Astyanax mexicanus: one gene and its partner. The protein of the gene in region 2 purifies or fractionates together with the protein of the main gene of each other region. This does not show direct contact. Links are inferred from orthologs where the notes say so. Each region holds a gene or a part of one and is shown on either strand. Other genes may lie near its edges.

What was found. The genes of interacting proteins can lie anywhere in the genome.
Region 1: the proteins of eif3ba (region 2) and eif3i purify together in Homo sapiens (affinity purification with mass spectrometry; 12 studies listed by BioGRID and IntAct, counting the BioPlex papers as one, with this or other methods). This does not show direct contact. The link is inferred for Astyanax mexicanus from reciprocal best matches to the Homo sapiens genes EIF3B and EIF3I.

The regions. Positions count from the first base shown.
Region 1 is NC_064410.1:39,627,834-39,638,605, forward strand, and holds the start of eif3i (eukaryotic translation initiation factor 3 subunit I), read right to left. Parts: upstream 4,379-10,772; 5' UTR 4,244-4,378; coding exon 4,241-4,243; intron 2,624-4,240; coding exon 2,531-2,623; intron 2,439-2,530; coding exon 2,351-2,438; intron 1,742-2,350; coding exon 1,676-1,741; intron 1,523-1,675; coding exon 1,373-1,522; intron 1,230-1,372; coding exon 1,102-1,229; intron 690-1,101; coding exon 579-689; intron 486-578; coding exon 396-485; intron 1-395. UniProt on the Homo sapiens protein: Component of the eukaryotic translation initiation factor 3 (eIF-3) complex, which is required for several steps in the initiation of protein synthesis.
Region 2 is NC_064410.1:55,933,581-55,944,952, reverse strand, and holds the start of eif3ba (eukaryotic translation initiation factor 3, subunit Ba), read right to left. Parts: upstream 5,050-11,372; 5' UTR 5,026-5,049; intron 4,876-5,025; 5' UTR 4,762-4,875; coding exon 4,659-4,761; intron 1,334-4,658; coding exon 1,141-1,333; intron 1,045-1,140; coding exon 925-1,044; intron 829-924; coding exon 771-828; intron 1-770.

The DNA of each region.
Region 1 (10,772 bases), about 16 Mb from region 2:
ACAATACAGAGTGTGAGAGAACGTGTCTCTACTAACAATGAAGAGAATACAATTCTGAAAATTGTCCTTCACAACATGTCCTCACTCTCCCAACAAAATATAACCCCCCCAAAAAACCCTTAACAATATTTAAAAGCAAACAAATTATACCCTTAAACATTTTATTTTTACTCTAAAGTGTAAGTTTTGTAAACACTGCCAAAAACAAGCCCTATCTTAAGCATTCAATAATTATCAGATTAAAATCATTCATTACATTCTTACAGATTACACACAATGTTGAAAAAATAAATACATATATATTTTCTTTTTAGCTTATTGGGATGAAAGCACCCCACTATTTGAGACACTATTAATGAAAATCACTACACAGCATTACAGATGAAATCTCTTACATGTTCCATGTTGGGCGAGATGGCAGCAGAATTGACTGGACGCTCAGTCTTAAAGGATTTGATGTGGTCTAATGATGTTGTATCAAACATCTGCAGACAAAGAGAAAAAATGTCTTGTAAGAATACCTACATTTTCAGGTATATGTTTAAACATGATACATTCTGTCAAAAACTTATACAAACCTTAGCAGCACAGTCTTTGGAGGCTGTGATAAACATTGTGAGATCCACAGAAGTCTGAATGTCGTTGATCTGCTTAGTGTGCTCCTTTATCTTCTTCACAATCTCCCCAGACTACACATAAAAAGATACATTAACTGAATGCTTTTATTTTAAATGTAACAAATATATTTGAAAACCAGACTGAATTATTTATCTAATTAAAACATGCTGTTGTATTACTGCCTTATAAGCATCATAGAATATTTTAGTTTTATTAAGGACGCAGACATACTGTCTTAATACATGTTTTCTCAAAGAGTGGGCATGTGAACAGTATATAGTAATTTCTTAGATCAGATAAAGGCAATATAATTTTCAAAAACTGACAAATCCCGAGAGCTGCATTTTGTCTCAGAGCCAGGTATTCCCAAATAAAATATGTTACAGCATAGAATCCCCAGCAAGTTTCTAGAAACTGCAGTCCCTTAGTAAATTTACAAAGCAACAGTATACATGCACATCCCATTACAAAAAATAAACCAACCTTGGCGCTGAACTGGTTGATTTCTCCATTTTCATGACCAGCAACCACAAACTCTCCCAGAGGGCCCCACACAGCACTTGTGATCTTTGATTCACTGCATGGTATTGAGAGATAAGGCTGGTTGTCCTCTAGAATTGGACAAAAGATCAAATACAGGCATGTCATCATTAAGCATTTTAGTAAGTCTGGTTTCCATACAGCTGCATTTTTTAGACTCACAACAGAAATTAGAAATGATATATCAACCGAAACTGAAAAAAAGCATATTTACCAATCTGTTGGGGGTCCCGCAGATCAAAGTAGTTAAGATAGCACTGGTAGCCCATCTGTTTGTCTGTGGAAAACATGATGATGTTTCCGCTGAAGTCAAATCCACACGTCCTCACTGCTGAGTTGGTCTCGAGCATTGCCAATTGTTTACCTGAACGCACATGCAAAAATAATTAAATTTCCCTGGAAAATATATAACCCAATTTTACAGACAAAACAGTTATAGTTATTAATTATAGTTATAATTAATAAATAAAAAATCATGGTGATTGTTGCACCTGTGCCATGGCAGGACTTAACTAACCTGTCTCGCAGTCCCAGAGTCTGCAGCTGTTGTCAGCTGAACCAGTCAACACATTTTTTGTGTCCCCTTTTAACATGGGTTAAGGTAAAACAACTCAGGTAAAGAAACAGATGCATGTAATGTCAATATATATGTAAGATTAACAAATAACGTACAATGACTGATGCATGAACAGCAGCACATACAAAAATACAGACTGAACTGTGGCATGGGAAGAAAAAATATGCATTCCAAATTAACTAATAGTATGTCCTTTAAAAGAATGTTCTTGTACGATTACACAATTATATTATCATGATATCATCTCGATACCTCAAAATTACATTTATTATATGAATTTGTCCGGGTCGACCTGAGGGAGATGGGCTCATGTGACTGAGTCTTATAGTTTTTCCTTGCTACTGTTGTCAACACAATAATTGGCATCACTGTGGTGCTTGCTCATGAGAGGCTTGGGTCTGTTTTGTCTGTAAATCTGTTTTGTGACAATATTTGTTGTAAAAAAACGCTTTTCAAATTAATACATTTTAATTGAATTGCATTTCTGGGGAAAATACATTTTGTAACAAGCCTAACTACATGTTATTTAAATAAGGTACATTGATTTAACCCATTTACAAAGCTAAGAAAATAACTAAAGCTTGGAACATCAGAAGCATCAGCACAAAAGGATACAGTCAACATCCACACACCAGACCGCCCCGGAGTGGCCGTTGTAGGTGCCCAGCCTCTCTCCATTCACAGAATACCACACATTCGCAAACTGAAGGAAAAAGATAATTATTTTTTTTAGTGAGCAACATTTTAGCATTTAGGAAACAAAGAAACCAAGTTGAGCAAAATAATTTAACATACCTGATCTTTAGCCACAGAAAACAGTAAATCTCCTTCTCTGTTGTATTTAATCTGAGTAAGAGACCTCTCGTGGCCCTGTAGAAGAATTGGTTTCTGGAGAAAAGAAAAGAATCATCAGTTATTAGAACAGCACCAGAGAAACCAGCCCGGTTACATTTAATTACATTACCAACATTTCCTACAATATATAGAATATATATGCATTGTATTGACAGTTTGTTTTGCAATTTGCAGTTTAGTTTAGGACCTGACCACTAGACAGCAGTGCTTTACCCTGTTGTTGTTATAATTGTGTGAAAATCCCTTTTTTAACTTTCAAACGAGTTTAATAAATAAGTTTTTTTTTCTGAAATTTGATTAAAACAATCAATACATATTGATTCGCTTACAGTATCACAATGCAATATTGCTATATATTGCCCTGTAACACATCACCAGGTGAAACACCAGTGTATCTTATGATTTGAACTATCAAATTCATTATTTTGATATTACAGTATCATTACATCATTATCATTATCAGTATCATTAAAAGTCAAGATAGCTATGAACATAGGCCTAAGAAAACATATCATCAAAAACTACTGGCTATATAACCAGCTAGCTAGGTTAAGTTTTAATTTAGCTAAATAGTTAATAAACAGTAAGACAAATATATAGGTTATATGCGATAACAAGAGCCAGTCAGAAGAATACATGCGTAACCTAGCTAACTAATATTTAGACAACAAACTTCCTAGTGATTTTTTTGCTGATATACAGCTCAGGAAAAAAATAATAATTTAAACAAAATGAAAATGGTTTTATTCTAGAAACTACAGACAGCCTTTCTGACAAATTCCAAATAAAAATATTGTCATTTAGAATATTTATTTTAATTGATGAAATAAAAAGATGCAGAGCTTTCAGACCTCAAATAATGCAAAGACAACAAGTTCATATTTATAATGTTTTAAGAGTTCAGAAATCCCTGTTTTTTTAATAACAGTTTTTATGCATCTTGGCATGTTCTCCTCCACCAGCCTTACACACTGCTTTCGGATCTTAATGCCACTCCTGGTACACAAATTCAAGCAGTTTAGCTGGGTTTAATGGCTTTTGACTACCCTTATTCTAGAGGTTTTCAATTTGGTGAAATCAAAGAAACTCGTCCAGTGTTTTTCTTTTTTCAGAGCTGTATGTTAGACATTTAAACGCTGACAAATATGGTTCGGTGGCAGATAGGTAACGTTAGCAGGCAATGCTCTAATGTTTTAACTGTTAGCATCGCGAAATAAAGCAACATCTGAGGAACAGCTAACGCTAGCATAGCTGGAGCTGGTTAACGTTACCCTCATATAATAAGAGCCGCCGCGCTAAACTAAGCTAACTAGCTTAGCCAGTTCACATATTATTAGAATTAGAGAGAACTGCTGGCACTGACACTGACTGTGTTTTCATATACTGTCTACTGGATACCCCATAAACTACCAATCCACACAGCGAAACAGGTAAAACAGTCAACGTTAAAGTATAAGTGACTAATTCGGTTTAATGAACGGAGAATATGTAACTAAGCTAACTAGCTAACATAGCGACTGAGCTAGCCCGCTAATTTGCTAGCTAGCTAACTACATACGCACACCCGGTTCTGGTTAATAACAGACCAATATAGCTCGTAAATACCGAGTAATACCCAGGTATTACTCGGTATTTGAATGTGTTTCTCACCATGGCTGCGGATCTTCTGTTTCCTCCCTTTTTTTAAAAGATCGGAAGAAACTTCTCCACACACCAGCCGCGTGTATCACCGGCACCGCGCAAGGACCGAACCGACCGACAGAGGGCGCGACTACCGCCTGCGCCCCGTCAACCACTTCAAAATAAAGGTTCACAGTCTTTTTTTTTTTTCTTCTTCTTTTTTTATCGTACTGTTATTTTCGTCTCTAATTCGTTTTTTATATTTATGGTATTTTAGGCACTTAGGCAAAAAAATTACGGACAAGAATAAATAATAATAAAACATAAAAAAACGTATATGTGAATTTATTAGATCAGACGAACTTTAATATTTAAACTATAACGTTACCAGATTTTTGTGCTCTCTTTTAAATTGTCTGGCCTTTATTCTTTATTATTAAAATATATTTGGGCAATTCCACAGAATGAGTGCCACCGAATTGCTTGTTGTAAATCCAAATTAAACTTATTTTTAATCTTTTTTTTTGAACTGATGTAACTTCCTGTTGTAATTAGATGTGGCTTTTGTGTGTGTATATATTATTATGTAGATACAATGTCTAATATTTACATATTTTGGTGAGTTTTACTATAGTAAATTAGTGATTTCAGTGTTAAAGTTGAATGTAAACAGGGAGCTGAAGAATTGTATGGTCTACATGCTGTGCCGTGACTGTCTCAGCGGAGGTGTTTAGCAGGAGGGAGTTGTGTACAGAGCTGCTCATCTGCTTTTACATCTCCTTCTCTTACATCTGCCCATCTTTACTTCTACTGAGCAGTTCTCAGTTTTCAGTACACATTTTAAGTTATTTTCCAGAAAACACAGCCCAAGTCAGTTTAAAACTTAGCTAGTCCTATATACGCACCGACAACAGGCTTTCAGAATTCAAACACTGCATTAAATGTTTTTCCATGTGGGACCCAAACAAAAACCATCAGATAGCCAATAATACACCCACTTAAGCCCATGTAAAACACAGATAGCTTAATGGTTAGCCCAAACAGTGCCCAAATATACCACATGCAGCTGACAACTAGGGAACCAAATGGGAAGTCCATGTGGTACCAAGTCACAGCCCATACATTTGTTTATGCCCAATATACCCTGGTAAAACCCCTGTGGGCCCACCTGTATATGTTGATTCTCCGGAGCAGTTAACTATGAACCAATTGGCCACAACCATCGACTCTCTCTCTCTCTCCCGGACAAAGGTTGCTAGAAACCTGGGTGTTATAGTGGATGACCAGCTCTCCTTTAGGCACCATGTGGCCACAGTTGCTCGATCGTGCAACTTCTCGCTGTATAACATCAGAACAATTTGATGGGCTACCCAACTCCTGGTACAAGCAGTGTTCATCTCACGCCTCGACTATTGCAATGCCCTACTAACTGGCCTCCCGGCCTGTGTAATAAAACCACTCCAGATGATCCAGACATGCAGCAACAGACATCCAGATCCAGACAGTCTGGTCTTCAACCAGCCAAAACGAGCACGTCACCCCACTGCTCATTGAGCTCCATTGGCTACCAGTTGCTGCTCTGATCAAATTCAAAGCTCTTACAATCACCTACAAGGTGATGACAGAACAGCTCCTTCCTACCTGCATTCACTCCTGAAGTCTTACGCCACCTCCCGGCCGCTGCACTCCTCCAGTGAACGTCACCTCGCTTTACCAAACACAATTCACACAAAGCAATCCAGACTGTTCTCATACAGAGTTCCCCAATGGTGGAACAAACTACCTTCCACTACCAGATCAGGAGAATCTCTCACTATCTTTAATAAAATCCTGAAGACAGAGCTCTTCAAAGAGCACTAACACCTAACTAACTACTTTTAACCTTATTTCCTTCTTCCCCTCCTTCACTCCTCTATCCCATTATCTCCCTTTGACCTCCTCTAAGCCATGTCTAAAAATGTGTTTTTACCTTTAACTTGTTACTTTATGTACTCCACTATTGTAAGTCGCGTTGGACAAAAGCGTCTGCCAAATGTAATGTAACATATCAAAGGTCAGGTGTTAGCATTGAGCTGAGGAGCAGTGAAACTGTTCTTTGGAATGATGTTGCTTCATTAGATACTTTTGGGATGAGTTGTGAGTTGAGTTGAGTTTGGGGGATGTGGAGTTAGCCTGCAGGATTAGTGAGTGAGGGGTCAGACAGTCATTATAAATACAACCAATAATAGTTGCATTGTCCAAAAGTAAGACACAGTCACAATATTTTACTATCACAAGTCAGTTTACTACAGTTAGTATAACTCAACTGCAAATTATTAGGGGTGCAATAACTTTTTTCATACCACTGTATTAGCTGGTTAATGTTGCTTGCTTATTATAAGCGCAGTCAATTTTGCATCTTGTCCACCTGCTAATCGAGCTTGATCTATACCCACTAACAATTTCCAATCATTTTTGGGCAGGTTTAAATGTCACTGTCAAGTATTGATCTATTGACAAAGTATGAAGCAGGCCTTTATATCATTAGGGTTTCCCTCTTTAATCTAAAATATACACACATTAAACTGATATAGAACAGCAGAGATAAATTAAATAGTTGCAGTTATACTAGGTAAGTTGCAGAATAAAGATATGGGGTAATAGTAAGTTGTTGATAGGTTCATGTTAATAGGATGCAGCCTAATAAACTAGATTTTAACATTTTGAACACAATGTAAGAACATATTAGCTAGCTAACAAACTAGTTTGAATGAATTTGACTTATTGCTTATGCCTTTCAACTGGGAAGATCAATATCCCTGAACTTTAACTGATGGTGTTATATGTTTTTGAGCAGTGTAGCATTAAGCAATAATACACTTGAGGTTCCTGCTATTACGTGTAATATTGGCACTGCTGGGCTGCAGTCGTAGATCAGCACAGCAGTGCCAATATTACGTTATAGCACGACCCTTGAGGGTATTATTGCGATTATACCACAGTTCCATTATTACTGTTTATTGAAAGAGTTTGAGTAAAAGAGGACAAGAAAACACAACCTGTTTGGTTATAAAAACTTGCAAGTTAAAATAGTTTCATTGCTGCTCTGTTTGTAGCTGCGCTGTTTGCCTGGTAATGCTGCATCGTTGCTAGGTTACCTGTATGTGGCGGAGTAATGCATTGAGAGCTTCTGTTACAGTGCATTACCGGCTGATAATGGCCCCCATAGAATGCCTCTGAGCCAATCCAACTGCAGGGTCAGAACTAACTGTAGTATAATACAACTTATAGTACAGAGGTTGGACAATAAAACTAAAACACCTAATTTTAGACCACAATAATTTGTCCCGACAGACAGTTCTTGTGGAAACAGAGTTGAGGTGCACATTGAATTCTGCCGTGATTTGGGCAGCCGTGGTTTTATGTTTTTTGGATACAATCCGGGTTAGCACCCGAACATCCCTTTCAGACAGCTTCCTCTTGCTTCCACAGTTAATCCTGTTGGATGTGGTTCGTCCTTCTTGGTGGTGTGCTGACATTGCCCTGGATACCGTGGCTCTTGATACATCACGACTTGCTGTCTTGGTCACAGATGCGCCAGCAACAACAATTTGTCCTCTTTTGAACTCTGGTATTGCACCCATAATGTTGTATGCATTGCAATATTTTGAGCAAAACTGTGCTCTTACCCTGCTAATTGAACCTTCACACTCTGCTCTTACTGGTGCAATGTGCAATTAATGAAGATTGGCCACCAGGCCTGTCCTATTTGGCCATGAAACCTCCCACACTAAAAGGACAGGTGTTTCATTGTCCAACCCCCTGTATATATTATGTGCAGTACACAACTGGGGTGCAGCCACAGTTATAACAAGCTATTCAATGCCTAACCCCTGCAAAAAATTATTTGAGAGAATCAATCTACAAATCATTCACTGTATGCCTTTTGGAGATCAGTTCATTTTCTGCACATTTAACTATTTAACAGTAACAGATCTTTTAACCAGAGGAGTCCAAGCTTTTGGCTGCCATATATAAACAAAACATCAATATCAATAAATTCAGACATGGAGGCTGATTATTTTCTGTGTAGTTTAATTTGCAAATAATGTTTACAGGGTGTGCAAAAAAGAGGAAATCAAACAAAAACAAACTAACAAAGATCTTTGGTACCTTTCAACTGTGGATGGGTCCAGCATTACTGAACAACAAATGAGAGGAACCCATAAAAGCCAGCGTGCTGTTATTGTGCAAGTGATGGAATGTGGAGAAGAACAGTTGTTCTGGATCCATATTGACATCTGACTGTTATTCAACACAGGGAAGATGTCATGTGGATTCAGAGGGAATGATGTAAAGATAAATGAAACCCTAATGTTCATGTGTCCAAGTATAAAACAGATAGAAAAATGCAGTGCCTTAAAGTAAAAATGTATTAGAACCAGAAATGACAACAGCAGTTACTGTGAAGCCATGATGAGATTATAATAATGTACATTCAAATCCTAGCATATCAGATCTTTGTTTAGGAGCTAAATAAAGATCACATGAACGGCACTAAAATTGCATAGAGTTTAACATTTTAGAATCTCTTTATTGAACCTGATCACACAGAAAATTGGATATGGGATGCAGTTAAATATCTCTATAATGTAAGTATTTTTTGTAAGTTTAATGCAAGTTGATTTTAATCTGTATTCAATCATGTTAAGAGACATACTGTACATTAGCAACAACAAAATTTCAAACTAGTGGTTTACTATGAGAGAAAACACTGGATTAAAATGATAGACTGTGTATTGATGTGTAGTTTAATGCACTACACCCTTTTGTAGTGGTCAGAACCTCGTTCGAATGATGCATGCTTTCCTTTGGGTCTCTCAGAATGATTTTGGAGAATTGTCTGTAAAACTGGCCAAATGACCTGCTGATGAAACTGACCCATTCAAAAAGAATTCTGAGTGTAGTGTTACAGTGTTAAAACACAAACACGTTCTGCAAAAGCAGTGAAAAGGGTTTTGGAATGAGCTGCAAACACTTAGCAGAATTAAACATTTTACAACTGTATTTAAGGTAGATGAAAAAATAGGTCTACATAATTTCGAACTTTGAGCAAACTCTTTTTGAAATAACAGACAAATAAATCTTGTTTTTCTCAGTATCATCAAACTGAGGGCCTTGATACACTAATGTTCTGAGTTCGATAATGATGGAGAATGATAATGAAGTAGATAATGATGAAAACAAACAATTTACTCTAACAAGACAATCAGTAACTTGCTTTATTCTGCTACAAACATCAGAAAATGCTGATAAATATTCTTTCCCACCAACCTTTTCAGTGTCTGACCTAATTAGAGACTGCTGCCACTGCTTCAATTTTGTTATACACTATTCTGTAAGTAATTCTGTCTTTTTGCTTATTTGGTGCATTACTACATAATAGAACCACTTATGTTTCCATAAAGAAGCATTTTTATGACAGAGATGTCGGAGATGACAGTAAGTGAAGAAGAAAACCTTAAAGGTCTCTAAAAAACCTTCACATAACGAAAAAGTATTTTTTTTACAAAAAATGTTCTTTATAGAACCAGAAGTAATTCTTCCATGCCAATCACTTAAAGAACCTTCTGTAGCACCTTTATTTGTAAGCGTTTACTATCAAACTCTAGTGATTGAGGAATAAGGGTCATCTCGGTTCTGCTGATACAGAATTTATAAAATGCTGAAACCATCTGGAGTAGTATTAGAGAAAAATATAATATTTATTTCTGTAGAATTACAAATAGGGATGGGCAATAAGACAATATTTTATAATATTGTGACACAATGTGGTCACTGACTTTTTTTTTTTACTCTTTTAATTGGACGGAGTGAATCACATTTTAACTATGAATCCCTGTGCACCACTATATGAGAGTATTTGAGTCAGCTTTTAAGAATTTGTCAATTTGTAATGCATTTTGTCTGCATATCAAAACTATTTTGTGAAAATGTCTTTAAATACCATAATCTTTTTTCTATATCACCCACCCCTAGTTACAAACATAGTAAAAATAATAAAATAGTAAATATATGTTAGACACTTTAGTGCTGTAGTTCTCGGTCATCTAAACATTCTACTTTTCTGAAGTTCAATAAACACACTACCAAATACATCAATTTGATGCTGATCTGTTTTTTTTTTCATTATAAGCAATTATTTGCCAACACTTATAATATTCCAACATCAACCTGCATCTCTGCCAACATTAAATCATGGCATGGAGAAATTACACTAGTGTATTTAGGCCCTTAAATTGTGAAATCGAACTGGAAAATAAATAGGTAAACAAAACAAATAAATGAGGAAAAGAATGAAAAAGCTGGGAGCGATTGTATGGACACATTCTGATACTAAACACAGATTTAAGAACAACAACAGGTACAGCTACTGCCACACAATGACGGCTGTTCGGTTTGTAAGAAAATAAGGCGATGCTCTCAAGCAGCACATCCTGCCATCCATCTAGATTCTTAAAGGTTTGTCAGCCAAAAAAAGAAGATCGAGGCTAACGTTTGTAAATTTAAGTGAGAGGTGGAC
Region 2 (11,372 bases):
GAGTATTGTCCAAAAGTATTAATATTAATAGTCAACATTATGCAAACCCTGGATTTATCTTATTTATTTATTCACTCCAGCTGTGTGTGCTCATACCATCACTTTGTTTTTGCTTACTAGTGTATGTGCTGCAGGGACAGGTTAAGACTGAGGTCACATCCCATCTTTTTCTAGCACAAGCGTGGTAAACATGGCCACTGCCATTCTCATCTTCACGTAGTTTTTATATTCCCAAAATGATTTAAAACAAACACTTCTTATAATAACTTCAAATGATAGTGGATACGTTCTCCTGTAAATTTACACTTTTTGGAGATACAATGCTTTTGCTGACACTTTCTCCGCACTGTCACACTTCAACATACTGCTGCTCTTCATTCATGCTCATCCATGCTGCTACAGCAACTGTGCCTTATGCCTTTGCTCTCTGGATTTCGAGTTGCCGCTCCTTCTTTAGTACATTTGTACATATATGTCTATCTTGTTATACATTTTATTCTTTATTTTATTCTTATTTTATCTTGTATAACAATTACTCTTTGGGTGGAGCTGGAGCGTGGATCTACAATTTCAATCCACCTCATGTGATGCAAATGATATAAGTCTCCTTAAAGCTTTGCTTGACAAAGACAATGGGTTTAAGTGTCATGTTTCTTGAAAGGTAAAAGTCAAAAGATGAGTGGACTTCTGGACAAACATTATCAGGCTTTAGATAAACTAAAAATCTATCACAGTAATGTGTTGTGCTATTAAAAGTCTGTATTACTCACAAAATCTTTGAAGGGTTGTCTCTCAGGAGGTTCCCATTCATCACTGATTGACATGTACCTAGAAATGATAAATTAAACACGCATTTTAAATTAATATAGTGTTTCAGAAATAGGCAAAAAACATTTTAAAAATGCTTAATTGAGCAGAACATACTTGTCAAAGTCAGTGAACAGGTTGACACGGAAAGTATGCTGCTTATCCAATTTGTAGCCGTCAGCGTTCTTCACAGCTTCGTGTGCGTGACTTGGAACAGAATACTCAAGGAAAATGTACCTGAACAGCAGAGAGCAGACGCAAGAGATTCATCCATTATTAGACAAATTCAACTTAACCTACTTTCACAACACAGGCAGTCAAACCTGCACTCACCCCTTGGTCTTGCCGTCTGCTTCTGGGTAGAACTCGTTGGTGATTTTGCCAAATTTTGAGAAGATCTTGTGGATGACATTCTTGAGTTTCTCCAGACGGTCTTGTCCTACTTGAGGAACATTGTCAACGACAATGACCGAGTCGATACCATCAGCCTCCTGAGGTTTCTCCCTGAGGATGTCTCCCAGCAGCTCTGCAAAGGCCAAGAATAGTATAAAGTGAAAATTCAACAGAAACATACACTCTTGAAAGGTGCGACAAATTGATTTTTTGATAGTCATTTAATTAATCCATATAGAAGCATTTTTTAAGAATTTATTTTTTAATTCTACATTTGGTGGGAAACAAACTCTCAAGTTCTTCTGAACACATGGTAAAAACATTACATAACAATTTCCAAAGACAAATTCACTGGGGCTGAATGATAATTGAAAAAAATAAACATATATTAATTATGCAACCTGTGTATCAACTAGGAGAGTAAAACAAATAGTAATGAGTGTGTGTGTGTGTGTGTGTGTGTGTATATAAAAAATGGTTGTTTTAGAAATGCCAAAGAGTTACTAGAGGTGGAAAAATAAGTTTTATTGTAGCTTTATATTTTAATATATATATTTTTTGTTGTATCCACAATACTTTAGACATATCAAGGACATCAGTAATTAAAGAATACCTAATTTTACATTTTATTAAAAAAAAGCATAATTAGACCTGTTTAATTGGACGAGATATTTTGAATGAATCACATGTATCGAAATATTTGTTGTGTGTTTTCCAGTTTTAAATTGTATTTTTAAAAAACGTTTTTGCTAATTTATATAGAGGGAATTCTAAGAATATCTAAGCTGTTAAGGTGTGTGTGTGTGTGTATGTATGTATACATACATACATCCCTCTATATAAATTAGCAAAAACGTTTTTAAAAAAATACAACTTAAAACTGGAAAACACACAACAAATATTTCGATACATGTGATTCATTCAAAATATCTCGTCCAATTAAACAGGTCTAATTATGCTTTTTTTTATAAAATGTAAAATTAGGTATTCTTTAATTACTGATGTCCTTGATATGTCTAAAGTATTGTGGATACAACAAAAAATATATATATTAAAATATAAAGCTACAATAAAACTTATTTTTCCACCTCTAGTAACTCTTTGGCATTTCTAAAACAACCATTTTTGCACCATTCTCTTTTGGAATACAGTTTTGTTTTTGTTACACCTGAAACAAAAGCCCTACTAAGAAGCCTTTCTCTAGATTATAATGGATGTTCTATTCAATAATACACTTGGCAGGGCTTCAGGAGCAGGACTTAAAAACCCTTACAAGAACTACTGTAGAAACTGCCAACTACAATTACAAGCAAACCGTTACATTCAGCTGCTCAATTAGATAACATTACCACTGATAACATGTCTTTGAGGCTGGTCTTATTTAAGATGTTTTAAGTGAGCAAGTGTAGCCCTTTAAGGAGCAGTGTAACACTGTTACATATATTTAGGTCTAAAACAAAGAAATAATTGCAATAAAAATACACTCTCCTTTTAAAACAATTTAATGACAGTGATATTATGATAATAAAATAGTATAATAATGCATTTACAATTAATTCTTGAACTTGAATTAAAAATATTTAAAAATCAGAATCCAAAATTATTTAAGAATGACACATCTAAAACACTGCTCATAAACAAGGCCAATGCAGACTAATTTCACAGTGGAAAATATTGAGGTCATGTCCATATAAAAAATTGTGACAGGCCTAGTTAAATTTAATAATTATTATATATCAAAATTTCATAAATATACATATCCTAGCAGCTTTGCAAACTAACAAATGACATGACAGATCACTTCCATTTAGAGGTTAGATATATCAGTTGTGTCAAATGTGATACAAAATATTATTGTATATTCAGTGTTTTGTCACATCGCCAAAAGTATCGTTATTGTGAAAATACCATGAAATATTGTAATATTATTTTAGAGCCATAATGCTCACCTGTAATTTAAAGACTTACAATCTAAATGTATTTAAAATATAAATCTAACACACATTATATAGCAAGGAAACACTTTTTGTATTTTTTAAATAAGAAATGTAGGATAAATGTATTGCAGACATGTGCAGGACATATAGCTATACATTTTTAAGTAAATAAATTTACAGGGAAAGTCACCAAATGTGAAATGTATTGTTGCCTGGAGACAGCACCATGCCATAATATAACTAAAACATATATAACTAGCTAACAATACATGTACTGCACAATCCTAGTAGCTAAATGTTAAAATAGTGGGTTTGACATTATTTAATTTAGTGAGAAACAATCAATTTGGTTATCGTGTATTTATTTATTAATAATTAAGGATACATGTTGTTCGTGAGGAAGGCATATAGATTGCTTAATTAGCACATAAAATAAAGTTATTTACTTAAGTTACATTGTGACCCAACTGTCAGGCACGCCTCATTCATTAGCTTAGCATAGCTTAGAATACTTTAGCTTAGCATAGACGGATAGTAGCTTTGTCCACGCTTGTTAGCCAGACAGCTAACGTTAAGCTAAGCTAGCTAGCATGTTGTACGGTGTTCTGTCGAGTTCTGCTACCTTGTCAATCTGTGCGTCTCTGGTGCATATTTAAAAGGTTAAAATACACAAAAAGTACAATATTAAAACCTAGAATATTTCCAGTAAAAGTCTATGTGCTTTTCTTGGACACAATAAAGCACAGTCTCAGGGAGAAGTTATGGAAATAAGAGGTTATTCGAATCTGCTTTTGCATTTTATTAATAATACATATTGTATACAATATTATATTACATTATAACGGTAATAACATATTACTAACATTATTAAATTGTCATTTACAGTTGTATGTAATGTATGTAAGGTTGATAAACGAACAAAAAACACAGAAAAAGAATTATTATAAAAAAAAGAGCATGAAAAAATGTATGTTGGCGCATGCGCAGTGCCTTTCGAAAGCAGGTACTGATGGGTAGCAGAAGTCGACAGAACACCGGTTCAGATGCTGCTATGGCGTATTAAATAGCTAACTTAACTTATTTATTCAGCTAAAAATTAAATAATAAATTGGGCTTTCGCAGACACTAACAGAATTGCTTATGTTAGCTAAATAACGTAGTTTATGTGAGCCTGTTTATCCAGGTAGCCGCTGTTAGCTTAGCTTAATTACGCTAGATTTTGTATTTGATAGCGTAACTAAGCTAAGCTATGGCCTAATCAACCGACTAACTAACCTAACGTTAGCTAAGCTAAGCTAACGGGCACTGAATGATCATGCCTGCTGCATCCAGCTGCTGCTCCCGAATCACTACTTCAACAGCAAACCACACAGCTTATGATCACAACCCAAATAATTATATAACGCTAATGAAATATATTATATATAAGCCTAGCTACCGAAATCCGCATGACCGCGGTATCAGCGAAATCCGCGGCCGAAGGCGGGCCTCGCCGGGCCGGCCGCTCTCCCAGCCACCTACCCGAATCACTGATATCATCCTCGAAGTCCTCCGGGTCGCTGAACGAAGGCTCCTCGCCTTCATCAAACTCCAGCTCTGCGTCCATATCCTCCGTATCTCTCATCGAGGCTTCGCTGTGGACAATACCGGGCGATTAGCGCGATTCGCGGGTGTTAAAAACCGTAATCCAGCGTTTTTCCTCGCAGGACCATGTGCGGTGCCGCCGGCGCGAACCCCCCTGCGCAGAGAAAAGGAACAGGCCATGTGAGCCCAGCCCGCTCAACACTGATATAGGGCGTAAATTATAACCCTTTAAATACATTTAGACAACTTCGTACATGTTTTAATTTATTTTATAAAATAAACACATTGCTGCGCATGAGCATACCTGCTTATTTTGAGTCAAACTGGTGTAAAACCTGTCCAAATGCTGTTCTAGTTATGTCTCCCCCCTTTTTTCGAGAACTTGGTTTCTCCCACTGAGCCGGTTCCAGCAGCTCGCTTCCCGTGCGCTGTACGTCTGTCTGTGCGTGAGCCACGCTGTGAGTGAACGCTGTGCGCGTGACGCAGCCGGCCGGGCACGTACTGCATGATCTGTATGTCATATGTACGCATACAACACGTTAGCACGTGTTTTGAAGATCAGTACTTTAAACAATTCAGTAAAACTAAGCAAAGGCTACATTCATTCTCCATTAGACTCCAGTCCTTATACTCAGAATCAGGTCACACACTGTATAATGTACATTTTATTGCATGGTCCCTATGAAGCCCCTAAAGTGAGAACATGTTAAAAATGAATGCATGGCCACAACTTATTAAGGCGTGGGATTGATATTCTAGTGCATGGGAATGAGATAATTAAGTAATTGCCACGACTTACTAAGATGTGGGCGTAAGATAATTAAAGCTATGTTCACATTACCAGGCTGAAGTTACTCATATATTTTTTCATGCCTGTGTGAATGTGCCAAATCCATTTTTTTTTTCGAATCAGATCTGAGCCAAAACCATATATGGTCCTACATCAGATACGTACCTGATCCATGTACATGCGACATGAATGTAAACGGTCGAATCAATCAGAATTCATAAGTCTTTTTGCTTTTATGCATGGGCTACATGCTATAGCTGCAAAGCTGAGCATAAACTTCAGACCAGCCGTTTGCTCTCCACTCCAGCAAAAGAAGCTCCACATATGCTGCTAACGCATTTATTTCCCTTTAGAAAGCTACAGGTCGTCTCTCAAATATGTGTTTTTTTGTTGTTGGTGAAAAAGGCGGCATGTGAGGCGTTTCAGGGACAGATTTGTTCACATTACACACATTATGTTTAAGTTATTATGAATATTTAAAAATTAGCAATGGTGTAAAGGATCTGGTGTGAATGTACTTGAGGTTTACCAATGGTCTCAGCGACAACTCATTTAGGAGGTCGCAAAATACCCCATAACCACATCCAAAGAACTGCAGGACTCATTTTCCTCAGTTAAGGTCAACATTCATGACTCTAAAATGGCCTGAATGCCAAGACAACAACCGCTGCTGAAAAGAAAAATTAAGGCTCATCTCAATTTTGCCAGAAAACATCTTGATGATCCCCTTTTTGGAAAAAATACTCTTTGGACTGATGAGACAAAAGTTTAACTTTTTGGAAGGTGTGTCCCTTGACATCTGGTTTCTTAAAATAACATTTAAGAAACATAAAAAAAAATCATACCAGCAGTAAAACATGGTGGTGGTAGTGTGATGGTCTGGTGAAGACTTTGGAGTGGCCTAGTCAAAGTCCTGACCTGAACAGTATTGAGATGTTGTGGCATGACCTTAAAAAGGTGGTTTATTCTGGAAAATCCTCCAATGTGGCATAATTACAGTAATTTTGTGTAGAAAAGTGGACCAAAAATTGTCCACAGAGACGTGAAAGACTCATTGCAAGGTACTGCAAGCGCTTAATTGCAATTGTTGCTGCTAAGAGCTGCCAATCCAGTTATTAGGTTTAGGGGGAAAACACTTTTTCATACAGGGCCATGTAGGTTTGGATTTGTTTCTCACTTAATAATAATAAAAAAAATTGTTTACTTGTATTGTGATTTACTTATATTTACAGTTGTTTACTGATCTGAAACATTTAAGAGTGACACACATGCAATAAAATAAGAAATCATGAAGAGGGCAAACACTTCTTTTACACTACTATATTATAAGTGGATTATTAAATTATTTTAAGCTGTTATTTTTATTGCTTTAAATGTGCAACAATCACAATCATCAAGAGTCTTCAGATCATCAAGAATACAGCCCCTGAACGGCTGTGATGGGAAAAGAGCAGCTGTTTTAAAGACAGGTGAAATATGAGCCCTCATTTTTGTGCAGGTCAGAATCCTCGCCGCAGCATTTCCCAACCACTGCAAGCTGGAAACGGAGATCTTTGGCAGGCCAGAAAAAGCACATTACAGTTATCCAGCCATGAGAGTCAATCCTGCAGACCTTGGATATATTACTGAGGTGGAAGAATGCTGTTTTGCAGACGTTGTGGGTATTAAAGCTGTCAAAAGTGACACCCAGGTTTTTGGCAGAGCTTTAAGCCTTTATAGACTCCAAGGCAAAGGGTTTCTATATAGATAAGAGCCCCATTTCTCACTGTATCCTATTATATTCTAATTTAGCTGCAAAAAATGCTGACACATCCAGGACTTAAAGGTCTCATTCTATCGTTTTTTCATTCATTTAAAAATGTCTAGTTGTAGTCTCTAGTATGAATGGATGCCATGTGAGCCAGTGTTTCTATTTATCCCTGCTTTAGATCACTGAATTAGAGGTCTCTGGAGAAAGACAGGTTTTGGCTCTTGGTCATGAATATTCATACATGCAAACATATCGCCTCTGATTGGCTAACAGCACTGCAGCAGAGAACGCCTACCTGCTGTCACCCCACAGTCAATTTCAAAGCTCTAAAACTCAATGGACAAAATGTTTTCAGAGATACAGCCTTAGTTGTAAAGATACAGAACTGAGTGCTAGGTCAAGTTCTCAACATCGCTCAGCATCAAATGGCCCCGCAACCGAAAAATGTTATCAATGCTGCGGGCTGAGTGTAGACTGTAATATAGTGTAATATAAATATATAGACTGTAATATAGATATGTAGACTGTAATATAGTGTAATATAGTGTAATATAGATATTTGTACCAAGAGGTATAACAAGTCTCCTTTAATATATTATATTATCTGGTAGTTACACCTTATTAAACCAACATGTCAAATTAGAGGGATTTGGAGAGGTCAGGATTACTGATTGATAAAGTAAGTGAATTCTGATATAACTGGACCAGAGCTCATGTGAGGTGTATTTTGAGTAGTTTTTTTTATTTCTCCACCAGAGGGCACCTTTGTGAAAGAAAAAGAAAAAGTGTTCTTCACTTTCTCACACTTATGAAAGAGGTGATTTCCAAACAGTTACACTGATAACATATGACATAGATTCCAAACAAGAACATTAGCAGGAAAAGAAATGGCCCATTCTCCATCACCGTACCCCCGACCCTCCTCATGGCCCAGGCCAAGAGCACACTACAACCTTATTACAATCGTCAGCTGAACAAGTCCAACAAATCTGGCAGATCCTGCACAGCAGCTGCTGCTCACATTGACGGTAGATTAGTAAATATCAGAGTTCACTATAAGTCCAGCAAGAGACAGCCTGGAGGAAATGTAAGGATAACAAGAGTCATGAGTTTGAGTTTGTGGAAGTGAGCCAAGCCTGGCCTGAAGAAAGGGTCGATTGTGCATCTTCCTCCTGCTGCAGGGTTAGAGGAGTTCTCCTTTAGGTGAGCATCACTGTATGCAGGCCTCTGTGTTCCGACCAGCCTGAACTCAAAACGCGGTCTGCATCCAAAACCACATACTGCTAATTAACAGTACATTAGTGTAGTCTAGTGTAGTCTAGTGTAATATAGTGTGGTGTAGTGTAATAAGGGGAGTTTAGTGTAATATAGTGTAATGTTGTGTAGTGTAGTGTAATATAGTGTAGTGTAATGCAGTGTAATAAGGGGAGTGGAGTGTAATATAATGTAATGTTGTGTAGTGTAGTGTAATATAAGGTAATGTAGTGTAATATAATGTAGTGTAGTGTAATGCTGTGTAATAAGGGGAGTGTAGTGTAATATAGTGTAATGTTGTGTAGTGTAGTGTAATATAGTGTAGTGTAATGAGGTGTAATAAGGGGAGTGGAGTGTAATATAGTGTAATGTTGTGTAGTGTAGTGTAATATAGTGTAGTGTAATATAGTGTAATGTAGTGTAGTGTAATGTAGTGTAATAAGGGGAGTGTATTGTAATATAGTGTAATGTTGTGTAGTGTAGTGTAATATAGTGTAATGTTGTGTAGTGTAGTGTAATATAGTGTAGTGTAATATAGTGTAATGATGTGTAGTGTAATACAGTGTAATGTAGTGTAATAAGGGGAGTGTATTGTAATATACTGTAATGTTGTGTAGTGTAGTGTAATATAGTGTAATGTTGTGTAGTGTAGTGTAATATAGTGTAATAAGGGGAGTGTAGTGTAATATAGTGTAATGTTGTGTAGTGTAGTGTAATATAGTGTAATGTTGTTTAGTGTAGTATAATATAGTGTAGTGTAATATAGTGTAATGTAATGTAGTGTGATAAAGTGTAGTGTAATATAGTATAGTGTAGTTTAATATAGTGTAATGTAATATAGTGTCTTGTTGTGTAGTGTAGTGTAGTGTAATACAGTGTAATGTAGTGTAGTGTAATGCAGTGTAATAAGGGGAGTGTAGTGTAGTGTAATATAGTGTAATGTTGTGTAGTGCAATGTAGTGTAGTGTAATATAGTGTATTGTTGCGTAGTGTAGTGTAGAATAGTGTAGTGTAATATAGCGTAGTCTTATGTAGTGTAGTGTTATATAGTGTAATGTAATATAGTGTCTTGTTGTGTAGTGTAGTGTAGAATAGTGTAGTGTAATATAGCGTAGTGTTATGTAGTGTAGTGTAATATAGTGTAATGTAATATAGTGTCTTGTTGTGTAGTGTAGTGTAGAATAGTGTAGTGTAATATAGCGTAGTGTTATGTAGTGTAGTCTAATATAGTGTAATGTAATATAGTGTCTTGTTGTGTAGTGTAGTGTAGAATAGTGTAGTGTAATATAGCGTAGTGTTATGTAGTGTAGTCTAATATAGTGTAATGTAATATAGTGTCTTGTGTAGTGTAGTGTAGAATAGTGTAGTGTAATATAGTGTATTGTAGTGTATAGTATTGTATAATATAGTATGGTGAAGTTGTATAATTCAGTGTAGTGTAGTAGGGTATGGTGTGGTGCAGTAGTAGTATAGTGGGATATAGTATAATTCAGTGTAGTGTAGAGTTAGAATTCTACTGTAATATAATATAATTCACTGTAGCGGGTTTGGAATGGTATATTATTGTGAAGTACAGTGTATTATGTGTATTGTATTACAGTGTATTGTATAGTATTTTGTAGTGTATTATGTGGTTTTATACATTCAGGATAAGATAAATGGAAAGGCAAGTATGTGCAGAAAAGAAAAAAGGTCTGTTTTTGTACACTTTTAAACAATTTTAAACAAGCAGTTTTTATATAATGCTGTATGTGGAACTCCACTGTGGACCTTTTCTATTTTTATTGCACAATTTGATCATACTGGCATTTAAAAGAGAAATCTGAGGATAAAAATTCAATCCAGGGAGCAAAAACACTTCAGCCCCTTAGTGACTATACATCAAAAGTAGCACAGTTCTGCAGAGAAACCACAGACCTGGCAACACTGAGGCAGGGGGAGCAAGAATACATCTTAGTGCTGTAGTTAAAATGGCACTGAAGCAACATAGGGCCCAGTTGGGGTGAAGCGTGGCGGGGGGGGGGGGGGGGGGTGTTTGGTGGGTTGTGTTTGGGGGTTGAAGAGGTGTTTCCTGCGCTGCGTAACTCTTGCACAGCCTCTGTTTATTTTCTTCTATTTGAACTCGTACTCAGAGCTGTTCACAGGAAATGCACGGACCCTGCTCTCATAGAGGGAGGGGCTACATCAGGACTAATCTGATTTAGGACTGAGTGTGTATTTGTGTTTATATATGTTTACATGTGTTTTACAGAAATATATATTAAATATTGTCTTATATTCTTCTTACTAAAGGCCAAACTTACAGACAATGAGGGGTAGTGTCTTCTTTACAAAGACTGTTAGGGTCCTCTACTTTTGCAAAATTATTTCATTATCTCATTTAATGTTTTATTTATTCATTTATATATTTTTTTCATACGTAAATTAACACTTACGTCATCTACACTATGAAGGAACATAGTCAACTTAAACGTGTTAAACAAACCAAAATACTCTAACTTAGGTGCTCTTATTTGGGTTGCTGTTAATGTGCAGTTTCTGAGGCCGGTAACTCTGACGATCTTCCTTTCCTGTGGTGGTCCTGATGAGAGCCAGTTTCATCATAACATTTTTAATGGTCTTTTTTATGACTGCACTTGAGGATACTTTCAAAGTTCCTGAATTTTTTCGGATTGACTGACCTTCATTTCTTAAAGTATTTTTTCTTTACTTAGTTACTTAGTAGTTCTTACCATAATCTGGATTAGAAATAGAGCTATCCACTGTATACCTGTAACTCTACCTCTTCACTACTTTACAACTGATGCTCTCAAACACATTCAGAGACAAGAAATTTAAGTAATTAACTCTTGATGAG